4 linked regions of the Saccharomyces cerevisiae S288C genome follow. The gene in region 1 interacts genetically with each later gene. Each region holds a gene or a part of one and is shown in the gene's direction. Other genes may lie near its edges.

Region 1 (7,663 bases):
ATCCTTTTTGTCAGCAGTGATTGTGGGATAACTTTCAAGTATTGAAGCGGGAAAATGAAACGCAACTTAAGCCACACCACGTAATTCTTGAAGACTTTTGATGTATGATATTTATTTCACTGTTAAAAAAAGCTATAATTTCCTCTAATCAAAACTCTCTAAAACGAAATCAAAAATATTCGTAACACATATATAACGAAGTACAATATATTGGGAATCTATAAATCATATGCCGAGTGCGCAACTTCAACTGAAAACAATAATCCGTCTCTGGGCCAGAAAAAAAAAAGGAAAAAAAAGCTTTATTTCTTAATAAGGTGCTTTAATTTTTGAAAGGGAAGAAGCAACCATTTCCCAAAATATGGTGCTCCCCAGATACTAATGAAAATGCGTACCGGATATAGTAATTTTACTGTAACGTAGGCTACTGTGCCAGATAAAATCAACTTGTTTTTGTTGAGGCATTCCTGATATCTCTTACCAACAAATTTCTCCATAGCTGTATGACAGCTATCCATTAGGCCATTTAAGAAGTTTGGGAGCTTAAAATCATCAGAAAGATCGAGGTTATAAAGTAACCACCATAGTAGAAACAGTGGTAGTATGGCAGTTACCTCATGCAAGATGAAGAATGATGTAAGTGTTGGAACCGTGCCGGCCTCACTGAGGCGGTCGAAATAGTGTGAAAATTTAGGATTCTTGTTTAACCTTGTTAAAAGTCGTGACTTGGAAAATATTTTACGTAGTCTATCCTCCCTTCTTTTCACTGGATCTAAATTTCCCGATATGAATCTAATTTGGGTTGATCCGCCGGGCCTGGTGTTCATAAACGTGGTCAATTGCGTTGGCCTTTTAAGCATGAGCTCCAACGGTCCAGAGCCCATCTGCAGTTGACAGGGCCTGAAGAAAAGATTCATGACAGTCATGTTCCTGGTGAGGGTGCCTTGGGTGTAACACTTATCCTTACACGGTCTCTCAAAAGCAATATTTTTACATTTCTCTTCTTTGCTTCCTGTTCGTATAACGCGCTGAGAGCTGGTAAGAACAATAGGCCGAGGCCCTGCATCAAAATGTCAGTAGGGGACCTGTTAGGTACCCACTAATAAGTACAAGAGGGTTTTTATTTTCTAAGAGCCAATAATTGGCATTCTTTATATACAGGAAAGGTACATGTCATTCAAGACATGAGATGATCCACAGCTTCTTTACATCTGTCACACAATTTATCCTCTTCGGCTGAGTTGGCCTTCCAACATCTGGGACAGTTGTGCCTTTTGCTTCGTTCAACCAATATTTGAACGTTTATTCCGCTTCCCAATTCAATAGTTGGTAGACTGTTATTATTATCGTCCATTTGCAATATATCAACAGCAGATGATTGCAATATGTCGCAAAGCTCGTCAGAACTGAATGGGAGGTGATGCTTGGTGAAAATGGTAACGTGACTATGTGTTGTTTTGGTGACACCTTCTTCTAGACTTAACCTCTTGAATTCCTCCTGGAACTGTTTTAGAATTTTTAGTTCAAAGTTTTCAAAGGAGGTGACGATTTCCGTATTTGAGTCCAAAAACGGCCATTTTCCACGCATCGGATTAATGTCTATATGTTCTTGTCCTTGTAACCATCCTTCTGGTATATACTTCCATACTTCTTGGACCATAACGGGTAATATTGGTGCAAGAATTGCCCTATATGCATTTAGTATATGGACAAGCGTTGTTTGGACCTGCCTTCTTGCCAATGACGATATTTGGTTGGAATATAAAATATCCTTTGAGATATCAAAATAAAACGCCGATAGCTCGTTATTTAAATGATATTGTAGAGTAATGAGAACCTTGGAAAAGTTGTACTTTTGGTAGTGTTCTCTCGTCGTTTCCAGCAGTTCGTTTATCTTATACAAGGTATATTGATCAACACGGCGTAATTGTTCAATCGGCAAAAGGTTGAAATCTTGGGACTTCTGTAAATTACTCAATAAATAGCGAAAAGTTAGTCTAACCTTTTTTAGAGCTTCTCCTACATGTTTCATCACAGTCGGGCCAGCAACTATATCAGTTGTGAAATTCGATTGTGCTATCAGATACCTCAAGCCATCAACACCCAAAGCTGGTAAGCCTAAGTTTTCATCGCCTCGAATTATTGCTTCGGGAGAAATTGTATTTCCCACAGATTTTGACATTTTCAGACCATTCTCATCTAGGGTAAAACCATGAGTAATCACTTCTTCATATGGTGCAACAGGGACATTACTTGATGCTACTTTTGTTAGCAGTGAACTTTGAAACCATCCTCTATGTTGATCAGATCCTTCTAGACAAACTTGGTACAGGGGGGATGGGAGTTTTGACAACTTTAAGCTTTTTTCATAAAAGTCTTTGATCACACTCCATGACGACCCACTATCAAACCACACATCCATAGTATCTTGAGAACGACAGTATTCATGCGCTACGTCGTGATATTTTTCTGGCAACCATTCTTTCATGTCATTATCTTTATCGTTAAACCATGCATTAATTCCTTTTTGTTTGATTTTTTCTATGGCATGTGCCAAAATTTCTGAATTCATCAAAACAGAATCCGGTTCGCTCTTCTTGTAAAAGCTTAATATAGGGATACCCCATGAGCGTTGCCTAGATATGCACCATTCATTTCTGCTTTTCATAAAGGATGAAAGTCTTGAATAGCCTCTTTTAGGACAAAACTTGACGCGGCTGATGCTTTCCAGAGCCAAGTTTTTTACATCGTGTAAATCTGCAAACCACTGTGGAGTAGCTCTTATTATGACAGGTTTCTTGGATCTCCAGTCGTACGGATAAGAATGCGTGTATTCGTGAGATTTGTAAAGTAAATTAAGGTCGCTTAACTTACATAGAATGATTTTCGCGGTTTCGGCATCCAATACTTGCCTACCTTTTGTTAAGTCTCCTTCATCTCTCACGATGGATCTGACGGACTGAGGAAGTTCATTTAATTGGTAGCGGCCCTGGTGATCCACGGGAGAATAAATTTCAAGACCATTTTGAATACCAATGAGATAGTCATCCTGTCCATGCCCTGGTGCTGTATGAACCAATCCAGTCCCTGTACCGCTGGTAACGTGTGCACCATGTAATAAGGGCCTGCCAACCTTATCGTCTACTAAGAGGTTTTGATAATATAGCCCATTTAGATGAGTTCCTTGAAACTGTTTGATAGTCTCAAATGAGTTAGTTGTTAGGCCCAATTTATCAATGGAGCCGGTCTCTACAAGGATAAGTTCACTATTTAAGCGTAATAGGGAGTAGGAAAAATCCTGATTGAAACAGATTGCTCGATTAGAGAGAAGAGTCCATGGAGTACTGGTCCAAATCAAACAGTATATAGGCAAGTTATTCGTTATTCCTAGTTTTTTGCACAGATCCATCTGGGATTTCTTTTCAAGAGGAAATTTAACATAAGCAGCGATGGATTTATGGTTTTCATTATATTCTAATTCGCCCTCTGCTAACGCTGTTCTAGTTTCTGTACCCCAGTAAACCGGTTTGTTCTGTCTCTTAATCAGTCCTCTTTCGTACATTTCTTTAAAAATATTTAGCTGATTAATTTCATAGTCTTTATCCATTGTTAGGTATGGTGTTTCCCAGTCCGTTAAGATGGCAAAATGTTGGAAAGTTTCCCTTTGCCTCTTGATTGCCTTTTGTGCATGTTTTAAAGCCATTGACCTGATTTTTAAAGGCGATATTGACTCGATCTGTTGCGCGCTTAAATCTTTCAAAGCTTTAATCTCGATGGGTAGTCCATGACAATCCCAGCCAGGCTTATAAAAAATGTACTTCCCCTGTGAAAGTTGATATCTGTTTATGATATCTTTCAGAATTTTATTTAGAGCATGACCGAGATGGAGCTCGCCGTTGGCATAGGGCGGTCCATCATGTAAGATGAACAACTTTTCTTTAATGAACTCTAATTTTTCATCAGTCGTATTAAGCTTTGAAAATTCTTCGAAGAAATCACGTAGCTGCTCCTTGTAAACTAACTGCGAAGATTTTGGTATTAATTCCCTCAATGTAATCTCTAAGTTTGATCTATTAGGGAATTTGGTCTTGGGCAAGTTTAATGTTTTTTGGTAGGCATGTTTGGCGAGATATCGCTTGCTAATAATGCTAAAGATATGTTGAGGCACAAGCCTGGAGCGCTTCATAAGTAGCTAAAGATCGTTCTTAGTATACTGTGTTCCATAACTTCTAGCCTTGGTCCTTTATATTTGCTGTTTTTCTGCGTTTCTTAACTCGCTTGCGGAAAAAGAATCGACATTTTCAGAACAGGATTTTATTGTTTTTAAAGTACATTATATGGGGCGACACATCATCGCCATCTATGTTAAATATTTAAAGAATACGGGGTAGAATTATTCACGCTGGGGGATGCTGAAAGAGGAGTATAATTTGAGCGGTGCTGATAACATGGCATCTGCTGAGTTGTCATTTAAAAAGCAAAAAGTGGTATTGAAAAAGTTCATGATAGCGCAAGTGACTAAGGGGATTATGCAGCGGTATGCGAGCCTATTAGTTACCATGCCTAGTGATGATGACAATGCAATTATTGGCACAAATCATTTGAAAACAACCAAATTTTTAGAAATAATCCTACACAGAGCCAAATCATCGCATTTACAGTTCAAAAAGGTCTGTTGCATTGTCATCAAGTTTCTAGATTGCTGCTCGAAGGAAACTAACTACATGAAGTTTTTAAAGTTCAGCTTACACAAACTATTTGTAGCTGCTTTCATCTTAAGTGTGCCAAATGTTGTAGGCGATGACCGCGACAGGATTACCACGAGGGATGAAACCTATCATCTCTATTCCCAGATAACAGGCTTGCCACTGGAAGAAGTGATAAATTGTTGTTCTATTGTGAGGCCTGTACTTATTCGGCGGAGTAGACAACAACGCAGGCAAATGTTATCTCGACGTGAACAACATTCGTACTTCCTCAGAAGTTCTTTTATGAACTCCAATTCATCAGCATCACCTTTTTTCTCTACCAATAGGTCAGCTGATGATCTACATGTACATACAAGGGCATACTCGCTTCATAGCCATTCCGATGGGGAAGGCCAAGATAGGCGGTCGGAACATGAAGAAACGCATAGCATGGGGGCTGATGCCGATACATATCGACAAACTACGTTTATCCCAGACACACCAAATGGTTTGCATTCTAGATCATTAATTGAGTGTGGGATCGAACCCACCCAAGTAAGTGACTCTGGTGAATGGTCGGGTCAAAGTAACGGATATGTTTTGGTGACAGAATTACAGGAGTTTAACAAAATGGGTAAAAAGTTAGTACAAGAAGCTTTTAGGATAGTTTAATAAAGTATGGTTTGTCGTTTTGTTCATCATTCAAGGGTCATTTTTATTTCCATTTATGATTTCTTGAGTACAAAAGGCAAAAAAAACATGTATAATTATACACAAGAAAAAAAAACAAAACAAAAGAACACTTTCACACAAGCAAGTATATATTATGAGAATTTTTTCGAGTCTTACAGAACCATATCTTGCCTCTAAATTTTAGTCTAAAAATTTTGCTAGCCCATCAATTTTTTTTTTGTTCTAATGCAAAATATAACATGGGTAAGAAAAAGAAAAAGCCGTTCCTCAGTACGTAAAGAGATTTGATCATTAACAAGTTGGGCTCAATATACACAGTCGATAGTCTATATGTGCATATGAAACTGGCGCAAGACATGAATGTAGATGAAATATTTCTCAAACAAGCGGCAGAAGCTATAGCGGTAATCTCATCAAGTCCCACTCATACGGACCCCATAATACGAGAGCTACTCCACAGAATTCGACAATCCAGCCCATTGAGCGCAGTTATACCAGCACCAGAAAATGTTTTAAAGGCTGGGGAGCCGGAAAATATGGCTAGAGGTCTTATAAGGATTCCAGAAACACAAACAAAAAGAACAGGAGGTAACAACCATAGCAAGGAAGGCGCACAGCTCTACAGCTGTGCGAAATGTCAGTTGAAATTCAGCAGAAGTTCTGATCTGAGAAGACATGAAAAGGTACACTCACTCGTGCTGCCGCATATTTGCTCAAACTGTGGCAAAGGGTTTGCCAGGAAGGATGCTCTAAAAAGACATTCTAACACACTGACCTGTCAAAGAAACAGAAAGAAACTAAGTGAAGGTTCAGACGTTGATGTAGATGAGCTCATCAAGGATGCGATAAAGAATGGTACCGGCCTGTTGTAAGGCTAGAGGAAAACGTATTTGTCTCCATCAGCACACCTACACATACATATATAGATAGATATATACTTTAGCCATTGAGATAAGTAGAATAAAAAAACGTTGTAATATTCCGATACAGTTAGTGACATGTTCTCTACTTTTGCCAATTTTTTGCGCACAAAGTGGTGACGTACAAGTTCATCATTTCACGTGTGCAGCATAGTGTGGTATATTGTTTTTTTATATTTTATTTTTTATTTTTTTTTTTTTGCAGAAAACAGTGTTTGTATTATATGCTTTAGATATGCTAAAAAAAATGAAAAAAAATGGAACAAAATATGTGTTTTTTTATTTAACGTTAAAATTAAAGATTAAGTTATTTATTCGACGTCAGCATCAAAAGTTTGACCTTCAACTAACTCTGGAATAGCTTCATCCTTCTTTTCAGCATCAGCTGGAGCCTTGGCTTCGTGCTTTTCCATTTGGGCAGCCAATTGAGACAAGGCTTGGATGGCTTCAGGGCCCAATTGAGAGATAATACCTGGGAACAAATCTTGCAAGTTCTTTTCCTGTGGTAGACCGTAGAATACAGAAGTGTTGTGTTGAGCAGCAACTTGGACACCGACCTTGTTGAAGTGCATGACCTTACCGTCGTCCTTGAAAAAGTTGGCTTCGGCGACGTTGTCAATGGTGACAGCGTGCAACTTAGCTAATTGACTTTGCAACTTGGTGTCATCCTTGTTGGCACCGGCAGAAGAGCCTGCCTTCTTGTTAAGCTTTCTTCTAGTACCACCAACTTTGTTGTTAGCAGACAACTTTTGTAGCTTAGCTAATTTTTCTTGGTCAATTGGCATTATGAATTATGAGTCGCGTCTGGTGTGAGATGTTCTATTCTTAAACCTCCCTAGAAAGAATATTCGCTCTCTTGTGACAAAGGAGGGGTTACTACTTAACAAGCAATTGCAGCTGTTTCCACTACGAAATCTTCCAATGTCAACGAAAAAAATTCAAAAATTTTCTGCTTTTTTTTTCAACATCTGCCGTACTAAATGATTCCACAATAATCCATCATATACCATTACCCTGATTCCCATCGAAGAAAAGGCGGTGTCCCCTTACCCGTCCGCTCATGCCAAGAGATTAATTCATAACCGCTCTTCCTTGGATCAGAAGTGAACATATGAAGTTGCAACTACTACATACTTACTACCGTAGTCCATCATCAAGGACCCAAACATTCACGACTCCAGCGCGCCACGTTCTTCGCCATACTGCTTAACATTTTGGTACGAGTGCGAATTAGGGAAGTCGATGATAAAATAGAATATGCGAAAAAGAGGAAGAGCAGCCGTGAGAAAAAAGAAAAAAAAAGGCCTAAGGTATTCTCTACTCCAAAATCGTCGAGGGAGGGCAAAAGAAATTTTTTTTGTT
Region 2 (7,913 bases), on another chromosome or scaffold:
TTCAAAGAGATACGAAACCAAATATTGCAATTCAACAGCTTTGTTCACTCTCAAAAATCCCTTCAACAAGATTTATCGTACTTGAAGAGTGAACTAACTCGTATCGAGGCAGAAACTATCAAAGTCGATAAAAAGAGCCAAAACGAATGGGATGAGCTACGCAAAATGCTTGAAATAGATTCAAAGATAATTAAAGAATGCAATGAAGAATTGTTACAAGTTTCTCAGGAATTTACTACTAAAACTCAATGAGTAAGCGACTTGCATAGTCTGCTATCATATATGTACGCTAAGAAACAACTGGGCAATGGTATAATATCATGTAGCAAGAGGACATTATATATGAATTGGTCAATATATAAAGCCTTCTGTGCACCAAATCGTTAGGATGATTTTTCAGTATGCTGTATCATTGTATCGTATATTCATTCGTATCTCTTTTACCTCACTAACCGCTGCCAAAATTTACATGTATACAAAATAAAAGTCTTTTTTATGACCTTATTTGGTGAGTAATGCTACTTTTGTAAAGAGTGATGGAAACTATTATTCCAAAGGGTTAGAAGAAGGTGAGGAATACGTTCATATCACCGCTACAGATCGTGTCTCTCGGTTATGAGTAATCAAACCCTCTGCAAGCAACACAGTTACTTTTTTTCGGTTTTTTCTTTTCGTGTGAATTTTTATCCAGTGAGTTTCCTTGTTCACTTTCGAGAATGGAAGGCTGATTTCGAATTTTTATATTCAACAACTGTATTTGTATTAGGCTTTGCAATAGTAGATGAAAAGTGCAGAAGACGAATCTGCTACCCTCACAATACAAAGAAAAACAAAATCGTCATTTTAATATAGGAAGACACCGCTCAGGTAATTCAATATTGAATCTGGTTGCACTTTTCTTACGATGTAAATACCCACAAACTTCTTGTACGGTGAGCGTCTGACAACGAAATCAATTTACGGAGCAAGGATTTTGACAGTAGAGCAGATTGTTTTGAGTAGGATTTAGGAATCAAGACCTCCATCTTTGTCGCATTATTCCTAAATGTAACGTAACTCGTTTGATAAGAGAATGTCTAATCGAAGAGAGTTAATAACTTAATAAGCTCTTTAAAAGAACGATGGCATTTATCGTCTCCTATGCCAAGATAATTACTGGCTCAAAATTGTTCAGCGTTCATAAAACTTTGATATCACTTTCTGGCGCACAAGCTAACCTTTATGTAGTTCTTACGTAGATTCTTTTTAGCAAGTGCCTGGTAGTGGTTATTACATAAATGTATCTTTTCATTTGATAACAATTTCTTCAGTAGCATGTCGTGTCTAGCACGTGACGTAGAACTGTGGCTTTTTTGTTGTCATTATGACAATCAAGATACCAAAATTCAGTCATGTTTAAAAGGGGAAGGTACGATAGAGATATATATAAAGTGTTCAATTTACTATAATTGCGTATAGAATCCATTGTTACTTGCTCTCAATGAAACAACGATTCATTCGTCAATTTACGAACCTAATGTCTACTTCGAGACCGAAAGTTGTTGCCAACAAATATTTCACTTCTAACACTGCCAAAGATGTTTGGTCGCTAACCAATGAAGCCGCTGCAAAAGCTGCCAATAACTCCAAAAACCAAGGCCGTGAACTTATTAATTTAGGCCAAGGCTTTTTTTCATATTCCCCTCCTCAATTCGCCATTAAGGAGGCTCAGAAAGCCCTAGACATTCCAATGGTCAATCAATATTCTCCAACTAGAGGTCGACCTTCATTAATTAATTCCTTGATTAAGTTGTATTCTCCTATTTATAACACAGAATTGAAAGCGGAAAATGTTACCGTAACAACAGGTGCCAATGAAGGTATACTTTCTTGCTTGATGGGGCTTTTGAACGCTGGCGACGAGGTTATTGTTTTTGAACCTTTCTTTGACCAATATATTCCAAATATCGAACTTTGCGGTGGTAAAGTTGTTTACGTCCCCATAAATCCTCCAAAGGAATTGGATCAAAGGAATACTAGAGGTGAAGAATGGACCATTGACTTTGAGCAGTTCGAAAAAGCGATTACATCCAAGACAAAAGCTGTCATTATCAATACCCCTCACAACCCAATTGGTAAAGTTTTCACGCGCGAGGAATTAACCACTTTAGGTAACATTTGCGTCAAGCACAACGTTGTGATTATATCTGATGAAGTCTATGAACACCTTTACTTCACTGATTCTTTCACTAGAATTGCCACACTCTCTCCAGAAATTGGGCAACTAACCTTAACGGTCGGTTCTGCCGGTAAATCGTTTGCTGCTACTGGTTGGAGAATTGGTTGGGTCTTATCCTTGAACGCAGAGTTGTTAAGTTATGCAGCTAAGGCACATACAAGAATTTGTTTTGCATCTCCATCCCCTCTACAGGAAGCTTGTGCAAACTCTATTAACGACGCTTTAAAAATTGGGTATTTTGAAAAAATGAGACAGGAATATATCAACAAATTCAAAATTTTCACATCGATCTTTGATGAATTGGGACTACCATATACAGCTCCAGAGGGTACATATTTTGTCCTCGTTGATTTCTCTAAAGTGAAAATTCCCGAGGACTATCCCTACCCAGAGGAGATCCTGAATAAGGGAAAAGATTTTCGCATTTCTCACTGGTTGATCAATGAATTAGGTGTGGTTGCCATTCCACCAACTGAATTCTATATCAAAGAGCACGAAAAGGCTGCTGAGAATTTGTTAAGGTTTGCAGTTTGTAAAGATGATGCTTATCTAGAAAATGCCGTAGAGAGATTAAAACTACTCAAGGACTACTTATAAGATAAATTTTTTTTTATACTCCTTTTTCTCAATATATAGATTTTATAAAGCATGTATATTTTTATGCAGAAGTGGTAAATATAAACATCAATATTCCAGAATAATTCCATATTTTCTTCGCGTACTACAAGAAAAAGTGAACCCTTAATGAAAAATAGACAATATGAACATTTAGTAATGTTTTGAACAGTGTATTTATAGAGTACTTAAACACATATGAAGATATAGCGCAAGTAAATATAAATGAGTGACAAATCTCATCAGATATATTGCTACTTTTGGCTCTTTGGTTTGATCAATAATGTACTTTATGTGGTAATACTTTCAGCAGCTGTTGATATCGTGGGTCCTACCTTGCCTAAATCTCTAGTATTGCTAGCAGATATATTCCCATCACTCGCCATTAAATTGTGTTCCCCATTCTTTATTGATAGAATCAAGTACAGCTATAGAATATGGTCTTTGATCACGATGAGTTGCTTAGGAATGTTCTTAGTTTCTTTTAAAAACTTGTTTGTTTGTCTTTTAGGAATATCTTTCGCATCTATATCTTCCGGATTTGGAGAAGTGACATTCCTACAGCTAACACACTATTACAAACAAATTTCTTTGAATGGATGGTCGTCAGGTACTGGTGGTGCAGGAATCATTGGCGGAGCATCTTATATGTTCTTAACTTCAATCTTTAAAGTTCCAGTGAAGCTAACTTTACTAGTATTTAGTCTCCTTCCATTTGCATTTTTGTTTTATTTTAAATTAGAATCCAATGATACCAACCTGACTTACCAAAGTCTTCAACAAATTGACGAAGCAGAGGATGACCAGTTGGTGCCCTTTCCTGTCGCCTTTACACATACCAACGCTTCGCAATCCCTGTATTCTACAAGACAGCACATTTTGCAAACGGTCAAGAGACTTCGAAGATTGGTTTTTCCATACATGGTTCCATTGACCACCGTCTACTTATTCGAATATTTAATAAACCAAGCGGTAGCTCCGACCCTATTATTTCCGATTAATGGTGATGAAAGAAGTAAATCGATGCCATTTTTCTTCCATAAATACAGAGATATATACGTAACCTATGGAACGCTCTACCAATTAGGTGTCTTTATATCAAGATCCTTTGGACATCTTATGAGAATGAGGAGTTTATACATCTTAGCGTTTTTACAAGGTGTGAATTTGTGCATAACGGTACTGCAATCATGGTTTTATGTCACACATTCGCCCTGGGCGGTGATGATATTAATATTCTATGAGGGTTTTCTTGGTGGTGCGTCATATGTTAACACATTCTTAAATATTCTCGAACAAGAGGATCCTGATGAAACAGAGTTCGCCATGGGTGCTGTGTCCATCGCTGATTCCTTTGGCGTTTTTTTGGCTGCGTTACTTGGTTTGGGGCTAGAACCCAAACTTTGTAGGCATCAAATTGCCGATGACAGACCTTGGTGTAGGATGGAATAAAGTTTTGTTGTGATATTAAATAGGAGATTGAAATAAAGTGTTAGATGCTTTCTATATACTCATTCTAATGCCTGCTAATAACTCTTCGATAATTCGTTGATTTCTATCATTACTTTGAATGGTACTCAATATGCCAAAACACTGCAGTAATGTCAATTTATCTGTTTCTGTGACATTACTTTCTTCTTCTTGATTGAAAATGTAAAGTTGAAAACTTTTGCTGATACCATCGTTACTATTTACGAAGTTTTCATAACAAGGTAAGACTATTGAATCTCTAAAGCACATAAGCAAAAGAAACCCAATAGAATAATTACCATTAATGTGAGTCCGACTTTCATTGCCTGACTTTAAAACCGTAGAATTACCATCTTCTCTGATACTCTGATCCAACGGTAATAACACAGCGGCTAAATCATAATATACCTCTTGATAAAATATCCGCCATATAACGCCTAATCTTTTCAATGCGTTATTTATTGTGTCTTCATTAGAATAGTTAAAAACAATTTGGTTTTCTAAATTGTATAGGGAACTAACCAAAAATTCTTTCAAATCGCTGATAATTCTATTCATGCCGCTATGTGTGACTCTTGGATCTGTTTTTAAAATGCAATAGAATTCTAAAACTTCGTTAAAATTTTCTATTTTGGCCCTGAGTTTCCATATTCTTTGAGTTCTGAATAATTCTGCTACGTTACTACAAAATATATTCCAAATATTATTTGTTAGGGTTGTCAGTTCTTGGGAGTTGAAGTGTTTATAGTTAGCTTCCAGAGATGGTAAATTTCTTAAAAGGTCGTGTAACATTGAGACCGGATTCGGTGAGGCAGGATCAGTTCCAGAAAGCGGATCCTCAACGATTGTGTTGGGATTGACACCAGATGGATTAACATTCAATGAGTACACAGAAGTTCCTGAGTCCACAAGTTGCCCCGCATTAGTATGAATAAATTGTGACGGAGATTTATGTCTTCCGTAAGAGGAATGCAGAAATTTACTCAAGGAATTTGGAATTGCAGGCTCGATAGCATCTTGACCAATGTGCCTGTGGCTTTTATTTTGGAAAAAGTTCTTAATCACGTTTCGAAATGAATGTGAACTATTATGTAAGGTGCTTGAATCTGTCAAAAAGGAGGCAGGATCCGATGAAATGGTCGTATGTGCTCTGTTTCTCCTATTAAAAAAGCCAGAAGCCTTTCCTTTCATATACCTGCCGGAGGGCGTGGAGTGTAAACTTTTCTGAGTAATGGATATTGCATCAGAAGATAACTTTTTAGATAGATTGTTCGAGCACTCCACCGTGTCAACGCTATGAGATTCCCCTATCTGAGAAGAACCAGATTTAGATGTTGCAGCTGAGGCATTGTCATTGCTCCTCAAGGAATGATTTGAGGCCACACTGACCTTCGATCGAGGATGATCTACTGTATGGAATATGGATTGGAAGCCAACGTTAGAAACACTAGGGCTAATGGGGTTCCTCGAGCCCTTCAAATTCTTGATGGAATAAACGTCATCATTTGATGTGTCTACAAGAGTTTGCCGGCTAATCTCGCTTGTAGTCTGAAAATTTTTTACTGGGGCTGTGGCTAATTGCACATTAAGGTATTGTTCGCTATTGACAGGGCGTTGTGTCGTAGTAGATGTTCTTTCTCGAAGGAGTATATCTTCTGCTGTCATAATGAAAGAACTTTATTTCTACAGAGGTCAATTGGCGTTTCTGTCACCTAGATCTTTTCATTTGGTTATTCCCTCTATAAATTTACTCATCGGTCAATTTTTCTAACATTATGCACCTTTGTCACCGGCCCTTAGAAGAGGTGAAGATGATTCGTGAACATTGGTGATAAGCGAGAATATTTTCTATAAATTTGTAAAGTAAAAATAAATTACGTGCTATTTAGTTTGCAATGTGTACTTATTGTTAGTATATGTATTTTTTGCATGCGGCGATGAAGGCCAGTAAAACCAACGCTCTTGCATGCTTACCTCTTTCATCAGCTGGTGATTTAAAAACCATTCCCAACAATATCAGTGACATATAAGAGAGCCACGACCCCGTTTTGGTACACTTAAATATGATTATCGTTAATATCATAGAAACTAGTTTGTAACAAACCTGGATTGTTCTATTTAAAGCAGAATACTTTTGGAGGTTTTGGGTTGATACGGTGCTCAAATTTTCCTCTGGTGCTGGTAATGATAAAGTAACGTTGTCTCCGTCAATATAATCATCAGTAAAACTGTTGGTATTCTCATTCACTTCCGAGATTGTACTGAAGTTCAAAGTGCTATCCACATTTTCTTTCCAGAATTTTTTGCCGGGTTTGGAATTTATTAGCATTTCATCTAACGTCTCCTCCACTGTCTTCGCTGTGGGTCTAGCATCATTATTTGGTTGTAAAAGAGCGTCCATTAGGTGAAATATTCTACGGTCTATTGGTTTCAATTTCATCGCTTGATGCTTTTCAATCATACCTTCAGTGTCGAACCTAAAATTTTTGATGCGTACCTTCAAATCAACTATATCCAACTGTGGTTCAAAGGGCAATTCACCGAAGACAATAAAATAGCAAATCATTCCTAGAGAATACATATCGGAAGCAAAGGTGTATTCATTGTATGTGTGACTCGATCTTGAAGGCAACGTAGAAGAAGAAACTGGTCTCCCCTGGATAATAAGGTCTGGTGCTGTAAACTCTAATGTTCCTGTGCAACCAGTACCCAATCTGGACTCTCCTTCCAACTGACTTTCCCCCAAATCGCCAATAACAATTGATGGGAAAAACTCATCTGAATTGTGTTCCCTGTCGTATACGTTGTCATTCTCATTGTCACTTTTAAATGGAGTCAATAATAAACAGTTGGATGGTTTCAAGTCCCTATGTATTAGGCCAATACTGTGCAGTTCGTGTAAACCTCTTGCAATATCCCTTATAATGGATACGAGCTGTTCCGTAGATAGGCCAACTTCTCCTGATTTACCGTGATTTTTCTTGCGAGTTCTAAATTTTTTTTTCCTCTCTTCAGGTGATTCGGTATCTGAGAACCTATTGAACACTTTTCTTAGAATACAGTCTTCTAAATTGCCGCCACTGCAATACTGTTGTAAAATGAAAATACAAGGAACTTCTTCTTGTGAATCCGATTGGCTCCCATCAATGGATCTGACAAATCCAACCGAAGAATCCATTTCGAGCCACACATGATTATACGTAATCAAATTGGCACTTTTGTGAGTTAGCGAACTCAACGCTTTCACTTCCCGTATGCACTTATTAAACCATTCCATATCATTTCCAATAGGTATTTTTTTTAGTGCAAAAACACCTAATTCAGTATTACCAATTGTGTGTACAACTTTGTAAACAGAACCTCTTGCACCATTTCCCAGCAAAGACAATATTTTGAAAAATTTACGAAAGTATCCGGGGATAAACAAATCATCTGGAATAAAGTATTTGTTTTTGCTGAACTGTCCCTGCTTATTGTTACTATCGTTTTGTAGGGCGTAGTGCCGATGATTTCTTTCCAATGACTGAAAATATCTTCTTGAAAAGCTTGAATTGGCAAATTCAAATCCAAGTGGCACAGTGTTCTCTGGAATACTGAGCCTACTGCTTTC
Region 3 (8,864 bases), on another chromosome or scaffold:
AACGGGCCGAATGAATATTGGTGAACTATGGCTATTTGCGAGAAGGTATAGCAGTGGAAGTGTCCAGAAAGCAGTATGTTCCTAATAATAAAGGTAGTTCTTGGTCTGTGTGATCCCAGCTGGTCAACAAGACCCACGTTGGTCAATTGAAATACTCTTGTGAAGTTGTGCCAGAAAAGGGCCATAGGGTAACATACTCGTTCTATGTGATAATCAACTGTTATAAGCACTATATAGTTACATAGCTGGCCTATACATCTCCTGAATAGTGATGCAGTTTAGAGTTCATCGTGGGCTGCTTCGCTAGCTTCCGCTTTGATCTCTTCCTGTAGCTTGGCGGCGTCTTTATTGTCCAAAGGAACAGTTTCCAGTTCACCACTTTCCACAATAATAACTTCCTTTACAGGCATATTTCTACTGTCGGTCTTAACGTTTTCAATGTAGTGAACTACGTCCATACCATCCAAGACTTCTCCAAAGACAACGTGCTTACCGTCCAACCATGGGCATGGGACGGTGGTGATGAAAAATTGGGATCCGTTGGTGTTTTTACCACGATTGGCCATAGACAATCTGCCTGGTTTGTCATGTTTGACATCAAAATTCTCATCTTTGAACGTGTTTCCGAAGATAGACTTACCCCCAATACCTGATCTGTGAGTGAAATCGCCACCTTGAATCATGAAGTTAGGAATAACGCGATGGAAGATAGAGTTCAAATAACCCATCTTAGGGTCCCTGGAAATGGTCAACTGGTAAAAGTTTTCAACGGTTTGGGGTGTGGTGAGACCATACAATCCCATAACAATTCTACCAATTTGTTTATCACCGTGATTAATGTCAAAGTAGACCTTGTGTGTGATCTCAGGATCTTCTGCCGTGTCCTCTTTCGCAAAAATGGCTGTTGTGAAGAGACAAGCAAATAAGGTAATAAAGGAAAAAAATTGAAGCTTCATAATTGCGGATATCGCTGTGCCTTTTGTTTATTGAATTGAAAGTAACCTTTACTGTTGAGTCTCCTCGAGGAAAGTAGTAAGGATGGTTTCATCTTTTTTTTCCTCTGCTAAAAGGGATTCGCTGCGAAACGAAAATTAACTTCCCTACTATTTTTTATATCGTAAGTATGAATCTATTATTTATTGAACTATAACCATTGTGTTAAACCAGGATCAGAAGATACAAATTCTTCTAGTCTGGCTTGAAGATCCTCAGCTTCTTTTTTCATTTCGGTTAAAGCTCGAACCTTCCTTTGACTGTCTGGCTTCAAGACATTAGGACCTTGTGAGAGTTCATCCCCGTCTACAGTGGCCGATGTAGAGTTATTTTTTCTTGCTTGCCTACCACCAACACCCAAATATTCGTCTCTTCTTCCTTGCCAATCAGTCAAAGTCCCATTACCATCCCAATGATCTAATTTATCGTATATTAAATCCCCTACATTGTTTATTTTATAACGTGGAATAATGTGTGTATGCAAGTGGGGTACCGACTGTCCGGCCTCAGGTCCATCTTGGATGGCAACGTTGATAGAGTCAGCCTTATATTGCCACTTAATAAATCTATGTATTAACTGTAAAGTCTTGAAATAATCTTGAGATTCAGGCATGGTCAGATCTGATAAGTTTAAAACCGTAGTTCTCAGTGGAACGATCAGTACATGTCCGGGTACAATTGGTTTCAAGTTTACCAATGCATACGTATATTTTGACTTCTGTAAAGAAGCAGAGATTATAAGGTCTCCATATAGTTAGTAACGCAATGGTGCGAATGGGGTACAAAAAAACATATGAGAGTGCATACATAGAAAACTTGTTCAGTTACAAGAAACTTGCTGAAATATATTGGCTTATTCATGCTTTTAGGTTTCTTTGTTTTGCTTAAGATCATTCTGAGCCCAAGATAGATCAATGGAGCTTCCTTTTTTTCTTCGCTTCTTACAATTGAGCAGAAAAGAAGATTCGACCATATCTTGAGAAACGTATAAACCAGGAAAATTACACATTCTAATTGGTGTCAATGGCAAAATATATGCAAGTTTGCATGTAAAATATTTTTTTTAGGCCGGATAAAATAATTCTTCCTAATAGTGTCTAAAAGAAAACACTGACTCTTATAAAACAAACAATGAACATTTTAATAATTAAGATATAAACTGCCATCTTGATCTTCCAAAGAGACTACCAAATCAGCGACTTCATCGCTTTTCATGTTCCACCCCAGCTTGGGAGAAACACAAATATTCTTTAGGCAGGGCAGCCTGGATTCCAGTATGGCTATAGTCAAGTCATCGGGATGAATCTTAGAAGCTAATCCCAAGGATCCGCTGCATTCTAAGTACAATGTTTTAAGAGGCCTATCATATTCCACCAATTTACTTAGCATGAATTCAGAAAAGCACCACTTAGAACAGTAATCAACCATGAGCTGCAAAGAAATTAAATTAGCACAGTACGTGAAGACATGGTCTAGGGAATTTTCTGCCAGAGATGGCATCGGATAATGAAAAAATAAATGCTTTAAATTATCACCGATCTGTGATAACAACGAATAAATAGACAATTCCGTTATTTGAGGACAATAAGAGAATTCTAAAGTTGTAATAGTTGTTGGCCATTTCGTATCAATCACAAATTCATTTGTTATACCTCCACTCAATTTCAAGTACCTGAGATTCTGTGGCCATTGAATATCTTGGAACCCTTGGCAGTCAATCGACGATCTGGGAAAAGATAAATGCGTTAATTTAGTGAAATTTTTAATGGCAGAAAATAACTCCTTCAGCTTAACTGTTTCCGATACTAAACCCAAGTCTAAAAATTTCAAATCATGACACGATTTCAATGAAATCAAAGGCGCGTAACCAAAGCTTGTCTGTGGTGCGATGAATTTAGTTAGGTTAGAACAGCATCGTCGTAAAAGCTTGGAGACAAATGAATTTCTACCACTTTGTAAAATTGTAGACAAGTTCAACTCAAAAACATAGTGTCCTAAATTCTTCTTTTTATTTATGATTATTGTATCAACAAACCCGTTGAAATTCTTACTTGTTAACGCTGGTGCATAATAAAGCTTTGGTAGACACATGGCGTACCAGTTTCTGCAAACTAGTAAGTAGTTCATATTTATACCAGTCGTAGTTTTTTTTCCATTAGCAGTTTTATTTAATTTTTCTTCTTTCTCTGGTATATCAAGATAATGAATTATTCTATGCTGTATCTCCCATGGCAAAACCATCTTTACTGATACTGAATGCATCCTCGCTTCCTCACTCTCTATGACTTTGCCATTTTTTTCTCCTTTGGAGGACGATGTCGATGATGACGATGGCGACTGCTTACGTCCTTTTTTATCCTTTTTTTCATTACTCAGTCGTGTCAATTTCACTATAGTATCATTGGTTTCATCATAGTAATAAGACCCCTGTGGAGTCTCAATGAGTTCTGCATCCTCCGGTATAGTGATAGTGAATTCTTTAGCCTTATTATCATTTCTTGTAGAGGAGAAACCCTCTCCCGCCACGTACTTCCTGTAAGGAGCCTTGATTTTCTTGGGTCGTGATTTGTTTGCCATTACTGAGTACTGTGGTTGATATGATTATGTGTTAGAGCTGTTGCACATGTTTGTCGATGTACAAATCTTGACGATGCCGTCATATTACTCTCAATACTAGACACATCTTGTATTGACAACCCTTACCCCTCATGAAGAGGTAACCCGGCCGCAGGGCTTTAACAATAAAATAGAGACTATCATTCAACAATTACACAGTAGAAAAAAGTCAGAAGATTACTAATCTCGATCTTAAGTCTATTAGTCAATTAAATGTGGCCTAGGATTCAACTAAAAATATAGTAGTAGTGAAAAAACAAATGTTCCAACCGAGGATCGAACTCGGGACCTTTGCCGTGTGAAGGCAACGTGATAGCCGCTACACTATTGGAACAATATTACGGATGACAGCTTAGGATTCATAAAGAACTAATAAAGGTGTGGCAATAAAAATGGTGCAGCAAGTCTCAACTTTACTGCTTCTTATAGTTACTTCCTGTCGTTTTCATCACACTAACCCTTTGTTTCATTGTGCTCCCCTTCCCTTCCTTTCAATATTGCTTCCTACATCGGTCACTCTTACTTTGGTAATGAAGTAATGAAGAAAGGAAAAATAGAAAATCGAATACTAAAAATGTTATTATTTAAGGAGAATAAGAACGTAGACACTTAAGGGCGATAGTGTTTGAACAGAAAAAAATTAACTTACAAAACATGAAGGACTTGAGATTACAGGGGCCCTACAGAAAGTACATTCCCTATAATATTTTCCAACAATGTGGAATTGGTCACTTAAAGACGCTTGATTATATTTTCGCGTTTTTGATTGTTATTACCAATTTCACATTAATATGGAAATCGCACTCTTCTTCATTCTGGAACCGACCATGGGACAATAATAGTGAACAAGAACTTTCCCAATTAATTCAGTTTTACCTAGACAAGGCTTTTTACATCCATGAATTGCCACCATTTACAATACAGTTCTACTCCATTATTCGAAGATTAAAGATCGCAGAAAATTTAAGATACGTTTCTTTGTTTTTGAATTCATCGACTTTAGGTTTTCTTTTCCTGATAACAAGGAGAATCAATTGCTCTCGTTTAATTTCAGCAACAGGTTTGCTGATATTATCCAACTGGGAAACTTTCAGAAATGAGGGCACTATTATATCATTTGACAGTTTAGAATGGTGTCTGTTCTCAGTAGTAATTTACAGTTTTATAAGCATTTCAATTGCAAAACTGGGAACTACGAATTGGTTTGCTAATGTGATTACATTATCTATTTCTTTAGGGCTGGCAATCTCTTCTAAATTTATTGGAATTGTCACTTGGGCCTTCGTAATTCTTTCTTTTGTACGTCAATTTGATAGACTGATAAGCGACGTTAAAGTTACGACCATCCAAATAATAAAATTTGTCATTCTCTGTCTATTATTCGTTTTGATTATCCCTGGTTCCATCTTCATAATAAGTTATTCGAACTTACTTTCGAATTTTAAGACAGACACGCCACAATTTTCAAAATATATGAGCACATATTTCAAGTCCTATTTAAGAGGCCCTCAAGTACAACCGAGTCGATTGTACTATGGATCAACGATCACATTACGTCATTTAGATTCTATGGTCGGATATCTTGCTTCTCACGATATTTCGTATCCATCAGATGTTGACGAACAGTTAGTAGCGTTATCATTTGAAGAATTCGCGGCAGACAATGAATGGTTAATAGAACATCCTACATTAAATTTGAGTTTTTCTGAGGTATACCATGCTGATCAATTGATACCTGTAGAATTTGGTCAAAGTATAAAACTAAGACACAAATCTACTGGAAAATTATTGAGAGCCAGCACTGCTAAACCTCCCATCAGCGAGCAGGACTATGACTTTCAAATTTCATGCACGAAAGATTCAAACTACGAAGGAGGAATGGATGAGAGATGGGATGTTCTCCTGATTAAAGATGAAATCAACAATGATAAAAAGGATAACGCAGATGATAAATACATTAAACCGCTTCAATCAGAGATACGCTTTTACAATAACGGCCAGAGATGTGGGCTATTGGGCCATGATCTTCGGTTACCTGAATGGGGCCGCTTTGAGCAAGAAGTCCTATGTATGGAGTACCCAGTAATACCAAGAACCACTTTTCTAATAGACTCAGTACAACTACCAGTCGATTTCCAAGTCCCAATGATAGAATATTATATCGGCAAAATAAGTTCTTCAGCAGAATTCAATCATACCTTATCTTGGTCACAATTTCTTTATCTTTTCAAAGAATATATTTTCAAACAATACAAGTACAATTACTATATTAAATACGGTAAAAATAAGGTCACTTTTGAAGATGCGTTCGCCGTGGAAAAATGGCCAATTACGTTAGACACAGACTCTCCAGTTTGGTTTAATTTTGCATGGTATGGATCCTTACTCTCGATGATCATTTTCATGTGCGTGCAATGTAAGAGAATGATATCTTGGAATCCGTGGACAACTGCTGAACCTTCCTTTTCTATCAAATGGGAGGTCTACAATGAATTTGGCTGGGAGTGCATTGTCGGTTGGTTTTTACATTTTTACATCTTCACAATGAGTCCACACTTCAACTTGGGGAAAAAACTGTACTTCCAAAGTTTTTTCTTTAGTGTATTGTGTCTTTTAGAATCGTTAGATTGCCTTGCAAAGTAACTCGTAGAAAGATTTTCTCCATTATGATTTTTCTCCCATTGCTTCAATAATTCTCCGGTACAAATAGAGTAGCACAATTATTTATAAGAATAACATACATACGCTTAACTCTGCCATATAACTATAGTACATTTTCTGTCCTCTGTTCGCAAATTTCTTTGTAAAACTTAAGTTTATGTGCTCTTTTTTGAGTTTGCAATGCCATCTACAAAATCTTCAATTAAAGAATCAACGTGCCTTAAAAGTTTCTCCTTCTTTTTGATGGCCTCAATTTTTTCGTCTTCCACTTCAACTAGCTTTTTCTGCAACATATCAATCTTCCTTAATTGCTCTTCAGCTGAAACGTCAACACCAGGTAACGAGTCAATAAGCTTGTTTATCTGTCTTGTTTTAAGTATAATGTCCGTGGATAGCTCATCTATCGTGTTAGAAAATTCCTCAGGAGGTACTACTGTGGCATGCTTATCGGACATCTGAGGTTCATTTACGGTCAATCGTTCAAAACCATGGTTCTTATCTATGTAGTTTAAAGTAGCACAGAATTGCTCCGTCATTTGGTCTAAACATATCTGCAATTGTGTTAATCTATCTGTCATTGTTAAAGAGCATATAATGTATTGAACTAGTGAAATGTTATGTCCCTCTTTTAACCAATGGTTTACCGTTTGAATTATAATTATCTTTCAGAATTGATTTTTTTTCTAACTTTCTTGCAATGCGAACAAAGCTTGTAATTAAGCACGTACGGTTGGCCTTTAAAGGATTACAGAGAAAGACAAGGCTTCTACAGAAACAGCCACATGTTCTACAAAAGCGCACTTCACGCATATAAGCATATAAATGTTAGTTATATGAACAATCTTAAGTAATATATAATAAATCAGAAAAGTTTAACTGTAAAAGAAATTGTGTTTTAAAAGAAGATATAATAAACGAATGTATGGGATAACGCCAAGTTAAATGAATGTCCTTGTTTTGTAACTAAAGCAGAAGAAATAATATTGTTAGCTCTAGTTATTTTAATAGTGAAAAAATAGCCGAAATAAAGAACAAAGAAAAAAGAATGAGGAAACGAATGAATGAGATTAACGAGTAAAAAACGAATGAATGATACTTCAGATGGTCCTTGAATATGTTTTATAAGCTGATTCTTTGAATTTTTTTTTTTTTTTTTTTTCATTTTCTGTCCTTAGCTTAAGTTTGCAGGGGCTCGAGCTGGTTGAAAGAATAAAGAACATCATCGAAAGATTTTCTATGGTTTACAGGGGAGTCAGAGTAGGAAAATTTAGATTGTGGAGAAGGCGTAGCTATAGAGTTTCTTCTCTTGGGAAGAGGGCTTTGGCGTGAAGGAAAGAAGGCTTTTGCTGAGTCCTTATTTGAGTTTGGGGTCTCTAAAAGGCTACGATAAGCGCTTGACCTCTGAGAACGAGGCAAGAAGTCTAAAATAGGCTTATCTTCAAGTAGTGTGGGGAAGTTGTAGTTCTTCAAAAAATCCAGCGAAGACTCACTAGAATCCGTGGAATTAGTGTATCTATGACCCAGAGCGTGTGACTTATTTTTAAATTGTTTTGGAGATGCGTTTGGGGAATACTCAAAAATAGATGTAGCCATAGTTGACGTAGATACGACTCTCCCATTAATGGAATGATTGTTTCCTTGTGTGTTTTTAGAGTAATTGGAGGACGTTACTGAGATCGAACGCGCGACTGATAGTCTTGATGTCTTATTTTCGTGCGATCTTGAAATGAGTTTGCTTTCACGATTAGCAGGGATCCTTTCAGTGACAAAAGCTTTATTTAGTGATTTCGAATCCCGCTTGCTTGAGGAGGAGGTATAGTCGTCCTTAATCTCTGTGGACAGCGATGAAGGTTCCTGCAATTGCTCATCTTGGAATCCATTTCTAGTGTCAGCATGTGAAATATGTTGAAAATCAAATGGTGTGGAGATACCTTTACCTCTTATGTCCGGTTGGGCACCAAGCAACTTTTTCTTCAACAAATTAAGCTTAAGGAAAACCTTTTTGTGATTTGTCTTGTTGGCGCTGGACGATGATGACGATGATTCTTTAGACTTTGCAGAGTTAGAATTACTTCTCCTGTGGTGGCAAGACGGATGTGAATTTGGTGAAAGTGGAGGCAACTCAATGTTTTTCTTGTTACTCAGCACAGGTTTATCGCTGTTGATGAAAGTAATGCCTAGGTTTTCTTCATCATCAGATCCCATGAATTGCTGGGCCTGCAGACCGTAGAGTTTTTCAGCTTCTTCATCTTCATCCAGCCAAATCGACCGCATCTGTGGAAGGTTCATGGTTTCGTTTCCAGTATTGGTAATACTTGCACTAGTCATATTCGTTCTTTTGATAGCGTATTCTGTCAGGTATTCCTTTTGTTAGTGTTAGGTGTTTCGGAGCGAAAGATCGAGTTCGATAGCATAAAAAAAGAAGCTCTCTTGAGCAGTAGCAATAATATATACCAGACACGAAACAATCCATCAACAGGTCTCGTTTTACTGGAGTTTTACATTTTCAGTTTCTTTTTCGGATGCGAATGATCACTAGCTTGCAAACACGAATTGATCACGTTTCACAATTGTTCCACCAAACATGGCGATAA
Region 4 (8,980 bases), on another chromosome or scaffold:
GATATCGCACTGTTTAAATCAAATGACTGGTTCCTGGGAAAATAATACGGCGTACCATTATTATTGCTCGTTAATATGAAGAGTTTTTTCTCATTGTTTTCAACTAGAAATAACCAGCCTTGTCCCAAGACTTCATTCTCAGCACGGTAAATCATTTCCTCCTTCACTACTTCCCAATCGCTGCCGTTGAATGAATCTTTGATTTTGGATAAAAAAAGCCTAGAAGGCTCTGTCTTCACAACGGCGTTCGAGTTAGTGCCATGTTCAACAGCAGAAGGTAGAATGTTCTCCACGAATAAATGGTTATTATGGATAGAGGACGCCAAATTGAAGATGTTTGACTGTAATGGATTTCCTGCAGTTTTCAGCAATATGTGAAATGGATAATATGATTCCAAAGACTGTCCCGCTGTCGCCAGCGTTAGCTTATCACATAGATATCGCTGGTAGTCGAACCACACCGTCTTGAATCCCGAAGAACTGAGTATATTAGGCACTCCATTTTGCAGTAGGGCCTTAGAATTTGGTAGTTTAGGTACTACGTGAATACCCCTTTTGAAAACAAGCATTTCTCTGCGTCTTAGTTGCGCCAAGAAGACGATATTATGTGGTCTTCAGAAATTTGCCTGCAAAATATCCTCTTATTGTGAAAAGACTTTTGCTATACCCTTCTTACTTTTCCATGCTTTGCGATACTTCTTGCTCAGTCCAAAAAAGTACTGCGGCACCTCTCCTAAGATTCTTGGAAAGATGGGAAGTGAAAAAAAAAAATACAAAAAATAATGAGAGCTAAGGGATTCGAACCCTTGCATCCGAAGATATCAGAGATTTTAGAGGTTAAATCCACCTAAATCTGACGCCTTAAACCACTCGGCCAAACTCCCATTGTTTGTTGAATGGACTTCATAAACAATCGCATATCATTGATTGGTTACTTTTTAAGAAGGGATTGATGCCAAAGTCAGATGGTAACCATTGGATCAAGTGATAACACGTTTAAATGAAACAGTACCCATTTCTATAGACCAGATACCACGGAAGGATTACTGTAGAGGTGAGATATGAGATAGAGGGAATTGCCATTCGGTTAATAGCATATATAGGTTTTTATATGGAAGATTTGTGGGGCAATTGATTACCTTGTCAAAAATATATATAATATCTTGGAGCTGTAAAGGAAAGGCAATGTACAAAATCGACCAAGAGCTTTACTAAGTCTGGACAGTCGTTTGTCTGCCGATGTGGAAAAATAGCTTTCAATATAGTTATAGGAAGAATTTTCATAACAAGTGCGCGGTCTTGTTCCCCTTAACAGGTTCCGAACCTAGTATGGGAGAGGTTTCATTGACTTCGTTATATACTTCATTCAAGTTTGTAAGCCTACCGGCAATAAGGATTTGAAAAGTACGAAATGAAAAAAGACAAAACAAAAGAAGATTAAAGGTCAAACATAAAGGATAACACCGACATGCATAGAACGGCAATATTTCTAACTTACCGATCATGTATGAGAAATTTCAGTACACTGAGTAAAACATTAACGGTTTCTTCTGGTAAAGTAATCAGAAACGGTCCATTTAGGAGAGTAATTCGTGAAAAGAACCAAATAACGAAGGCGCCATCAGTAAAAGCATTTAAAGAAAATAGCAATAGCGGGATAATAAAAGTACATGATCCTATAGCTACTACGATACTTAATGAACCGACAGTTATTATCGAAAGGCAAATAGAATTTATGAACGTTTTTCTAGGTTTCGAGCAGGCTAATAGGTATGCCATAATGGATGTGAACGGAAACAAAATAGCATCAATGATGGAAAGAGATTTTTCTATAACAAAGGCCATAATGCGGCAGTTTTATCGTCTACATCGTCCTTTTTTGGTAGATGTCTTTGATAATTGGGGAAATGTAATAATGACGATTAAAAGGCCCTTTTCGTTCATCAATTCTCATATAAAGACTATCATACCTCCTTCCGCGTATGTTGATAATGGCAGTGACTCCACTCACTATCACGACGGTAAAGAAGGAACGACAGTAGGAGAGACCATTCAGAACTGGCATCTCTGGAGGCGTCGTTACGAATTATTCCAGAAAGATGGAGTAGAAGGATCCACTTTTGACCAATTTGGTAAGATAGATGCACCTTTCTTATCATTTGATTTTCCTGTAACAGATGCTGATGGTAAGATAATGGCGAGTGTAGACAGAAATTGGGTTGGTTTAGGAAGAGAAATGTTTACCGATACTGGTGTTTATGTTGTTAGATTTGATTCGCAGAGATGCTTTGATAATATTTATCCTACTGAGATGCTAAGTTCTCAAGTACTAACTTTGGATCAAAGGGCCGTGTTATTAGCAAACGCTGTGTCCATCGATTTCGATTATTTTTCGAGACATTCCAGACAAACTGGAGGTTTCCTTTCTTTTGGCGGTGGCTATGATGAGTAGGTGAATTATATATTTAAAAGAATTCTGTAAATACATATTTGACTACGCAGTAATAAAACAATTATTATTCCCAATTAGGGCCCAATCCTAGCATAGCAAAGTTTAATACATCTTCTTCATTTGCATTTTCCATATATGAGGCGACTCTCACTCTAACTAATTCCTGTTCAATCAAATCGGTGGCAGTTGGGTCACTCTTTCCCAAATAGAGGGGTCCGCTCAAATTCCTTCCATCCAGTTCAAATATCCCTCCGTTCTCTTCCACATATGTGATATAGTGTAGATTAGTATCTGCAGTTGCTTCTGGTGCTTCTGACTGGCCAGTAGAAAATGTTTGTACATTCTCTTTTATTACATTCAAGACGAATTGGTCGGTAGTAACATCATCAAACCTATTCTTCGAGCTTGAAGTATCACTTTGAGATTTTAAAAAATTGTCCAAGTCGGAGCCGGGCTCCAACAATGACTGGTTATTGCTCAAAGAATGAAGAATTGCATACAATCCGCACGCATTTTTGACTGATTGCTTAAACCATATAACATCATAAGAACTTGTAATTTGTTGACTGGTACTCGATTTTCTATCCTCGTTTATCGGAAATAGCAGCACAATGGCCTTCACTGGCCTTGGTAAGAATGCTAGTAACTCTGGCTCTGTTAAGCTATAGATATCGAAATACGCCCATTCATTTTTTAAACCTAATTTATGTGCAAAATTTGTAAAAACTTCAGGGTTTGATTCAATCGGCACCACAGCACGATTTTCTCCGCTCATACTTTTGCTATTGTATTTTTATAACGATTGTTACTTACTTGTTGATCAAAATACCCTTAATATCTCTTAAGTATGGACTTCCACCTTTATAGTCGACTAAATAAAAATACTTCTACTGAGGAAGTTTAAAACACGGAAAAATTGTTCCAGATCATTATCTGCACTGGTTTTTGGGGCGTTGATAGGCATGTTCACACTTCCTAACTCGACCACAGACATCTCCAAGAATACAAGGTACTTCAATCCGGGTAATAAAACGTCAGGAAGTTTTGAGAAGTTAATAGCTCATCACTGCATTCTCAAAAAATGCTTACAACTCTATGACGCCCTTAAAAAGAAAGGACTGGGTAAGAATAGCCTGCCTATTTTGGTGATACGTAAAAGAATCAACTTGTAGAGGTTAACTGGGGAGTATTACAATGATGGCAACTCCGGCTACTGATCTTATTTCCGATAATGATAAATATAACAAGCAATGTCTTTCTGATTCAAGTGATAGTGGTAGTGATGTAAGCTTTTTTTCCGTAAATGAAAGCGAAGGTGAATTGGATACAATGGAGAAAGTGGATACCTTGATTGGAGGTGCAAGAGTTATAAGCAATAAAGTAGAAAAAGACAGCGATAGTGAACAAAGGGGAAGAAAGAAGGAAACAACTGGGCCCAATAACTATCATAATTTAGAAGAGAAGCAAGCGAGTGCCATTTCTCTTGACGCTGATGATGAAGATCTCGATGAAATTATTTCTTATTCGCATGACGGGAACTATGACAGCTCTCATAAAACTTTCTCCTTTTCCTTACCATTTGGTAATACAAATTTCCGATCAAGTTCACCATTAGCCATAATTAAAACTGTGCTTCCCAAGACTCCAGATGAGTTCATCAAAAAGAATCTAAGAAAGAATGAGATCAAGCAAAAACTGAAAAAATCAACCTCCATTTCTTCCTTGGAAGAGATAGAATTATTTAAATACGAAAGGGGCATTGATAATTCAAGGTTAAGGGCTGTTAAAGAATCTTTGGAAATGGATGCCTTGAAGAACTCCATTAAGCAAATAACAGCAGACCCATTCGACAAAACTCATGACGGATATTACCGTTCGCGTTTAGAATCTATATGGAATGAATTGGAAGGAGATGTCGTTATAATGGGTGGATATCGAGGTAGTGTGCTAAGGGATGCTACTACTCATAAGCGAATTTGGATCCCATTAAAGGCAGGTTTGAATATGACGAAAGTCGATTTATTGATCGGACCTAATGACGAAGATGAACTTAAAACTCAGAAGGAGATTGTCCCTGATGGAATGCTAACACATATAGGGCCTGTTGATATCTCTAAGAGGTTGATAAAGAGGCTAGACGCAAATCCTAATTTAAATGTTCAGCAGTTTGGCTATGATTGGAGATTATCCTTGGACATATCTGCCAAGCATTTAACGACTAAACTAGAGGAAATTTACAATAAGCAAAAAAATAAGAAGGGAATATACATCATTGCCCATTCAATGGGCGGATTGGTCGCACATAAAGTGTTGCAAGACTGTACTCATTTGATAAGAGGTATTATTTACGTGGGTTCCCCAAGCCAATGTCCAAATATTTTAGGTCCTATTAGGTTTGGAGATGATGTGATGTGGAATAAAACTATTTTCACTAAAGAAACCAACTTTTTTATGAGAAGTAGTTTCTATTTTCTACCGTTAGATGGTAGATGTTTTGTTGACAAAATTACCTTAGAGAGGTATGATTTCGATTTTTTTGATACAGATGTTTGGAAAACCCTTGGCTTGTCACCTCTCGTCAATGAGAAAAGAGAGGAATCAGCTCACGAAAAATCAAAATTATTACCAAGGAAAACGAAATCAGCGCTTTCGCTTAAAGCTACCCTAAACGCAACTACCAAGTTTGTCCTAAATGCACCTGTTGTTAGGAATGTAGCCGGCAATAATAAACAGGTACCAAGGGATGTGCCTTTCGATGAAGTCTTCCATACATCTTATGAAGATAGCTGTGAATATTTAGCGAGAACTTTAAAACGTACAAAGAATTATTTGGATAGCTTAGATTACGACCCGAACAAAGAATATCCTCCATTGGCCATGGTTTACGGTAACAAGGTTCCCACTGTTAGAGGTGCTAAAGTGAACGGTATACAAGATATAAAAGATGGGAATTATGAAGATTTTTACTATGGTCCGGGCGACGGTGTTGTTCACCATAAATGGTTATTGCCTGAACAGAGAGGCTTTCCAGTTGTTTGTAAAATCGCCAGTTCTTCAGGTCATGTTAGCTTAATGACGGATTTGAAATCAATGGCAAAAGCATTCATATCTATCGTCGACAGCGAAAAAGAAGGAAGAAGATCTCGAACACGAACTTCTTCATGAAAGGCTTTTTATTCCTTTGTTTACTATTCATATCTGCATTTTTCTTTTTACCAAAATTCCGCATGTCAAAAAAAATCTGGCAACGCACCGCGAATAAAAATAAATAATATTTTTTTATCTTTAGTTGCCTAAATACTATTTATTTCGTCAATTTTACAACCTCTTTTATATACACCATTCGATTTCCCACGAAGTAAAATAATAATTCTATAAACAGATTTATCTGATATGCTCAATTTCCCCTCCCATTTTCATTATTGTCCTTCTTGCTCTTCCTCGATGTCAAAATTAACCTTCAGCCATAAGCTGCATGCGCTACATTGGGTTAATAATTGATAACCAGAATGACTCCGTTCCATAGCGTCTACATTATCAATGCATTCATCTAACAAACTCTCACTAAAATGAAAACCACCAACAAATTGACAGCGAGGACAATTCATCATAAACTCCAGCTTATCTTCATCAAATGAGAAATCGTCTAAGGAAAATTCATCCAGCCCATCACCACAATTATGAAATCCTTGGCGTTTATAGTTTTCAAGGATCAACCTATCATATTCGCGACGAGTTTTTATATTCGATAGTATTTTATAAGCATCTTGAATCTTATTGATTGTGACGTTGCTAACCGTATCATGTATGCTTTTAGAAAGTTTATCGGGGTGCGTATTTAGTAACCGATTCCTATATGCCTTTTTGATTTCATCTTGTGTTGCATCCGATGGAATTCTTAAAATTTCGTAGTGTGTTAACGAATTCACCAATGACATTTTCGCTAAATTTTCACACCAAAAGAAAGATTAAATTGGAGATAAATACAATACAAAGAGCGTGGTAAATTTCTTAGTTGATTGCGCTTATCTTTTGGCACCGATAGTGGTTTTTACAATGGTAAGACTAGTAACGTCACATCGAAGTCATCGCATCCATTTACAATTTTTCTGAAAATTTCCATCTCCAGTTACCCGCTCATAAATCTTCAAGAAAAGTCAATGATTTCCTTTTCTACCTCTAGCAGCTCCTTTAATCTTTGATTTAGATCGAAAGTCCTGAAAAAGCTACATGTAATATTAATACTTTGTGAAACGTAAACTAATTATATGTTCTATATACGTTATTCTACGGTTCGCATTTTCTTTTTATGGCGCGTCTGTGCATTCCCAATCGGTAGGCTCATAAGCATCAGGATGATCAAGAAATTTCATCTGTTCGTCTGACAGTTCAAAGTTGTAGGCTGCAAGGTTACCTTCTAACCTCTTCACAGTTTTAGTCTTCGGTAGTGGTAAATAACCGTGTTGTAAAGACCAACGAATCAAAACTTGACCTGGATTACGGTCCACCTCTTTGCAAACTTTTAATAAATCTGGATTAGTCATTTTGTAGCCGTGACACAATGGGGCAAAGGCTTCGACGACGAGACCTTTAGATTTACAGTAATCTGCTAATTCTTGTCTCATAATCCAAGGTGATATCTCGATTTGGTTGACCACTGGCTTGTGCTTCAGTTCTGGCCAGTTCAAAAGTTCATCAATGTGCTTTTTCCCATAGTTGGAAACCCCTATAGACTTAACCAATCCTTCATCAACCGCTTCTTGCATGGCGCGCCAAGTTTCCAACCTTAATTTAGAACCTTCCAGTGGCGAATGAATCAAAAGAAGATCGATGTATTGCAAGCCCGAGACTTCATTCAAACATTGCCGAATGGCAGCTTTAGCTCTTTTATATCCGTTTTGCGAATTCCATAATTTAGTAGTGTAGAAGATTTCCTCACGTTTATGGTTCCCTGGATCTTCGTTCAACCATTTAATGATACCATCGCCAACTTCCTTCTCATTACCATAAAGAACAGCAGTATCGAAATGACGGTAGCCGCACTTGACACCTTCATACACAATTTCGGCTGTTTGCGATCTTGGAATATCGTAGGTTCCCAAAGCAATGCTTGGGATTTTGAAGCCGTTTGAAAGTTTGTAAAACTTAGGAACCATGTTGTTGAGGTGAATTTTTTTTCTTCCTTCGGGCTAGGTATGCTAAGTTAATTACTAAAGTAAGATCAGTTGCTTATGCTCTTATATATTGGAGGTTGCGACAAGGGATGAAAGAAAGAGACACCTCCCCTCATATCGACACGACGGAATATGTATGATAACTACTTCATTGTTCTTTTCAGCACATTATTACTATTTACGAAAAAAGGGAGTAGGGAAAAATGGCGCGCTTATGGAGCCTCAAATAAGGACAAAAAAGTCAAGTAATGAATATCAAATTGAAATGAGTATGCTTACATAGATTTATTTGGTTTGTTTTCATTTTGTTTTTGTTTCTTATGTTGCTGCTTTATTTTGTGTAGGTAATAAGGAAGAATAGGGCGATTAATAATTGATCTTCTAGCCTATTTCTATTTTTTCTTTATTTCATTTTGTAGTCCCATTGTTCATCATCTACTTTAATGGCTTTGGCTTTGGTGTGTCATTCTTCTTGAATATACCCAAATTTTCTAAATGCTCCCTTACATATTCATAAACGGTAAAGGTGACAGCCTGACCTGGAGCCACCCTCATCACTCTTGGGGTAATACCCTTGTACAAAGCTCTAAAACCTTCTTCTTTCAGTAGTTGAGCACCAATGGTTATGATTTTCTTCATACCGGACTGTTTTTCCAATGAGATGGACTTATCCTTTTGCAGCCTTGTCTTTATAGTATCCAATGGAGCGTTGGAAAACGGCCCAATAGCACCCGAAATCAAACCTATGCAAGAAGTTTCCCATGAAGGTAGGACATCCATCTGATGGTAATTCTGCAAAAACTCCTTCAGTTTAGAATAAACTGTGAAGTTAGCACCCTGATTAGTTGCTTGCCTTGCCGCAGTTAAGGAAACGCCTCTATATAAGGCAGAAACACCTTCTTCTTTGACAATAGTGTAGGCTGCATGAATGGCGTTGTTATATTTAGGACCAGCATTTGGCTCACTCGGAGTTAAATGCTGAGCTTGTAACCTAATCTTTACAACTTCCATCGGGTTCACGACAAGAACAGCTTCGGTGATACCAGCCCCAACACCAGCAACAAAAGTATTACCGGTAGACACAATTCCTGATTCCTTGTTAACCAATAAGGTTCTATAGAATTCATAAGACGAGAAACGGATTGCCATCTTAGGTATAATACCGATGACCACAGCACCTAGACCTTTATACAGAGCCAAGAAACCTTCTTTTTGATAAATGGTACGCCCAGTTTTAATAAATCCTGGGGGTTTAACATGTTCAATACCAGCTACCCGTCTGTATATTTGCATTCTCACCTTAATTGTATCTAAAGGATGACAACACAATGCTTCAAATAAACCTGCTGTGCCG

The links.
Region 2: mutations in YPL039W (region 1) and YHC3 together harm fitness more than expected from each alone (negative genetic interaction), as found in Saccharomyces cerevisiae (one large-scale study listed by BioGRID).
Region 3: mutations in YPL039W (region 1) and PMT7 together harm fitness more than expected from each alone (negative genetic interaction), as found in Saccharomyces cerevisiae (one large-scale study listed by BioGRID).
Region 4: mutations in YPL039W (region 1) and YJR098C together harm fitness more than expected from each alone (negative genetic interaction), as found in Saccharomyces cerevisiae (one large-scale study listed by BioGRID).

The regions. Positions count from the first base shown.
Region 1 is NC_001148.4:474,816-482,478, forward strand, and holds YPL039W (uncharacterized protein), read left to right. Parts: upstream 1-4,409; coding exon 4,410-5,360; downstream 5,361-7,663. Other genes in the region: MRX11 (Mrx11p), read right to left, coding at 303-926; isoleucine--tRNA ligase ISM1, read right to left, coding at 1,178-4,186; YPL038W-A (uncharacterized protein), read left to right, coding at 5,367-5,558; MET31 (Met31p), read left to right, coding at 5,720-6,253; EGD1 (Egd1p), read right to left, coding at 6,613-7,086.
Region 2 is NC_001142.9:321,906-329,818, forward strand, and holds YHC3 (amino acid transporter YHC3), read left to right. Parts: upstream 1-3,058; coding exon 3,059-4,285; downstream 4,286-7,913. Other genes in the region: linker nucleoporin NUP82, read left to right, coding at 1-252; BNA3 (kynurenine--oxoglutarate transaminase), read left to right, coding at 1,481-2,815; BIT61 (Bit61p), read right to left, coding at 4,337-5,968; protein kinase IKS1, read right to left, coding at 6,213-7,913. UniProt on the Saccharomyces cerevisiae protein: Plays a role in vacuolar arginine transport. Involved in pH homeostasis. May be involved in ion homeostasis together with IST2. Not necessary for mitochondrial function or ATP synthase degradation.
Region 3 is NC_001136.10:1,071,602-1,080,465, forward strand, and holds PMT7 (putative dolichyl-phosphate-mannose--protein mannosyltransferase), read left to right. Parts: upstream 1-4,263; coding exon 4,264-6,252; downstream 6,253-8,864. Other genes in the region: peptidylprolyl isomerase family protein CPR5, read right to left, coding at 279-956; HNT2 (bis(5'-adenosyl)-triphosphatase), read right to left, coding at 1,145-1,711, 1,801-1,887; PFU1 (Pfu1p), read right to left, coding at 2,134-3,570; SRB7 (Srb7p), read right to left, coding at 6,426-6,848; GIC2 (Gic2p), read right to left, coding at 7,447-8,598. UniProt on the Saccharomyces cerevisiae protein: Probable protein O-mannosyltransferase involved in O-glycosylation which is essential for cell wall rigidity. Transfers mannose from Dol-P-mannose to Ser or Thr residues on proteins.
Region 4 is NC_001142.9:609,823-618,802, reverse strand, and holds YJR098C (uncharacterized protein), read left to right. Parts: upstream 1-3,646; coding exon 3,647-5,617; downstream 5,618-8,980. Other genes in the region: mitochondrial 37S ribosomal protein mS42 RSM26, read right to left, coding at 1-569; AIM25 (Aim25p), read left to right, coding at 1,469-2,452; ubiquitin-specific protease YUH1, read right to left, coding at 2,517-3,227; JJJ3 (Jjj3p), read right to left, coding at 5,872-6,390; YJR096W (aldo-keto reductase superfamily protein), read right to left, coding at 6,760-7,608; SFC1 (Sfc1p), read right to left, coding at 8,062-8,980.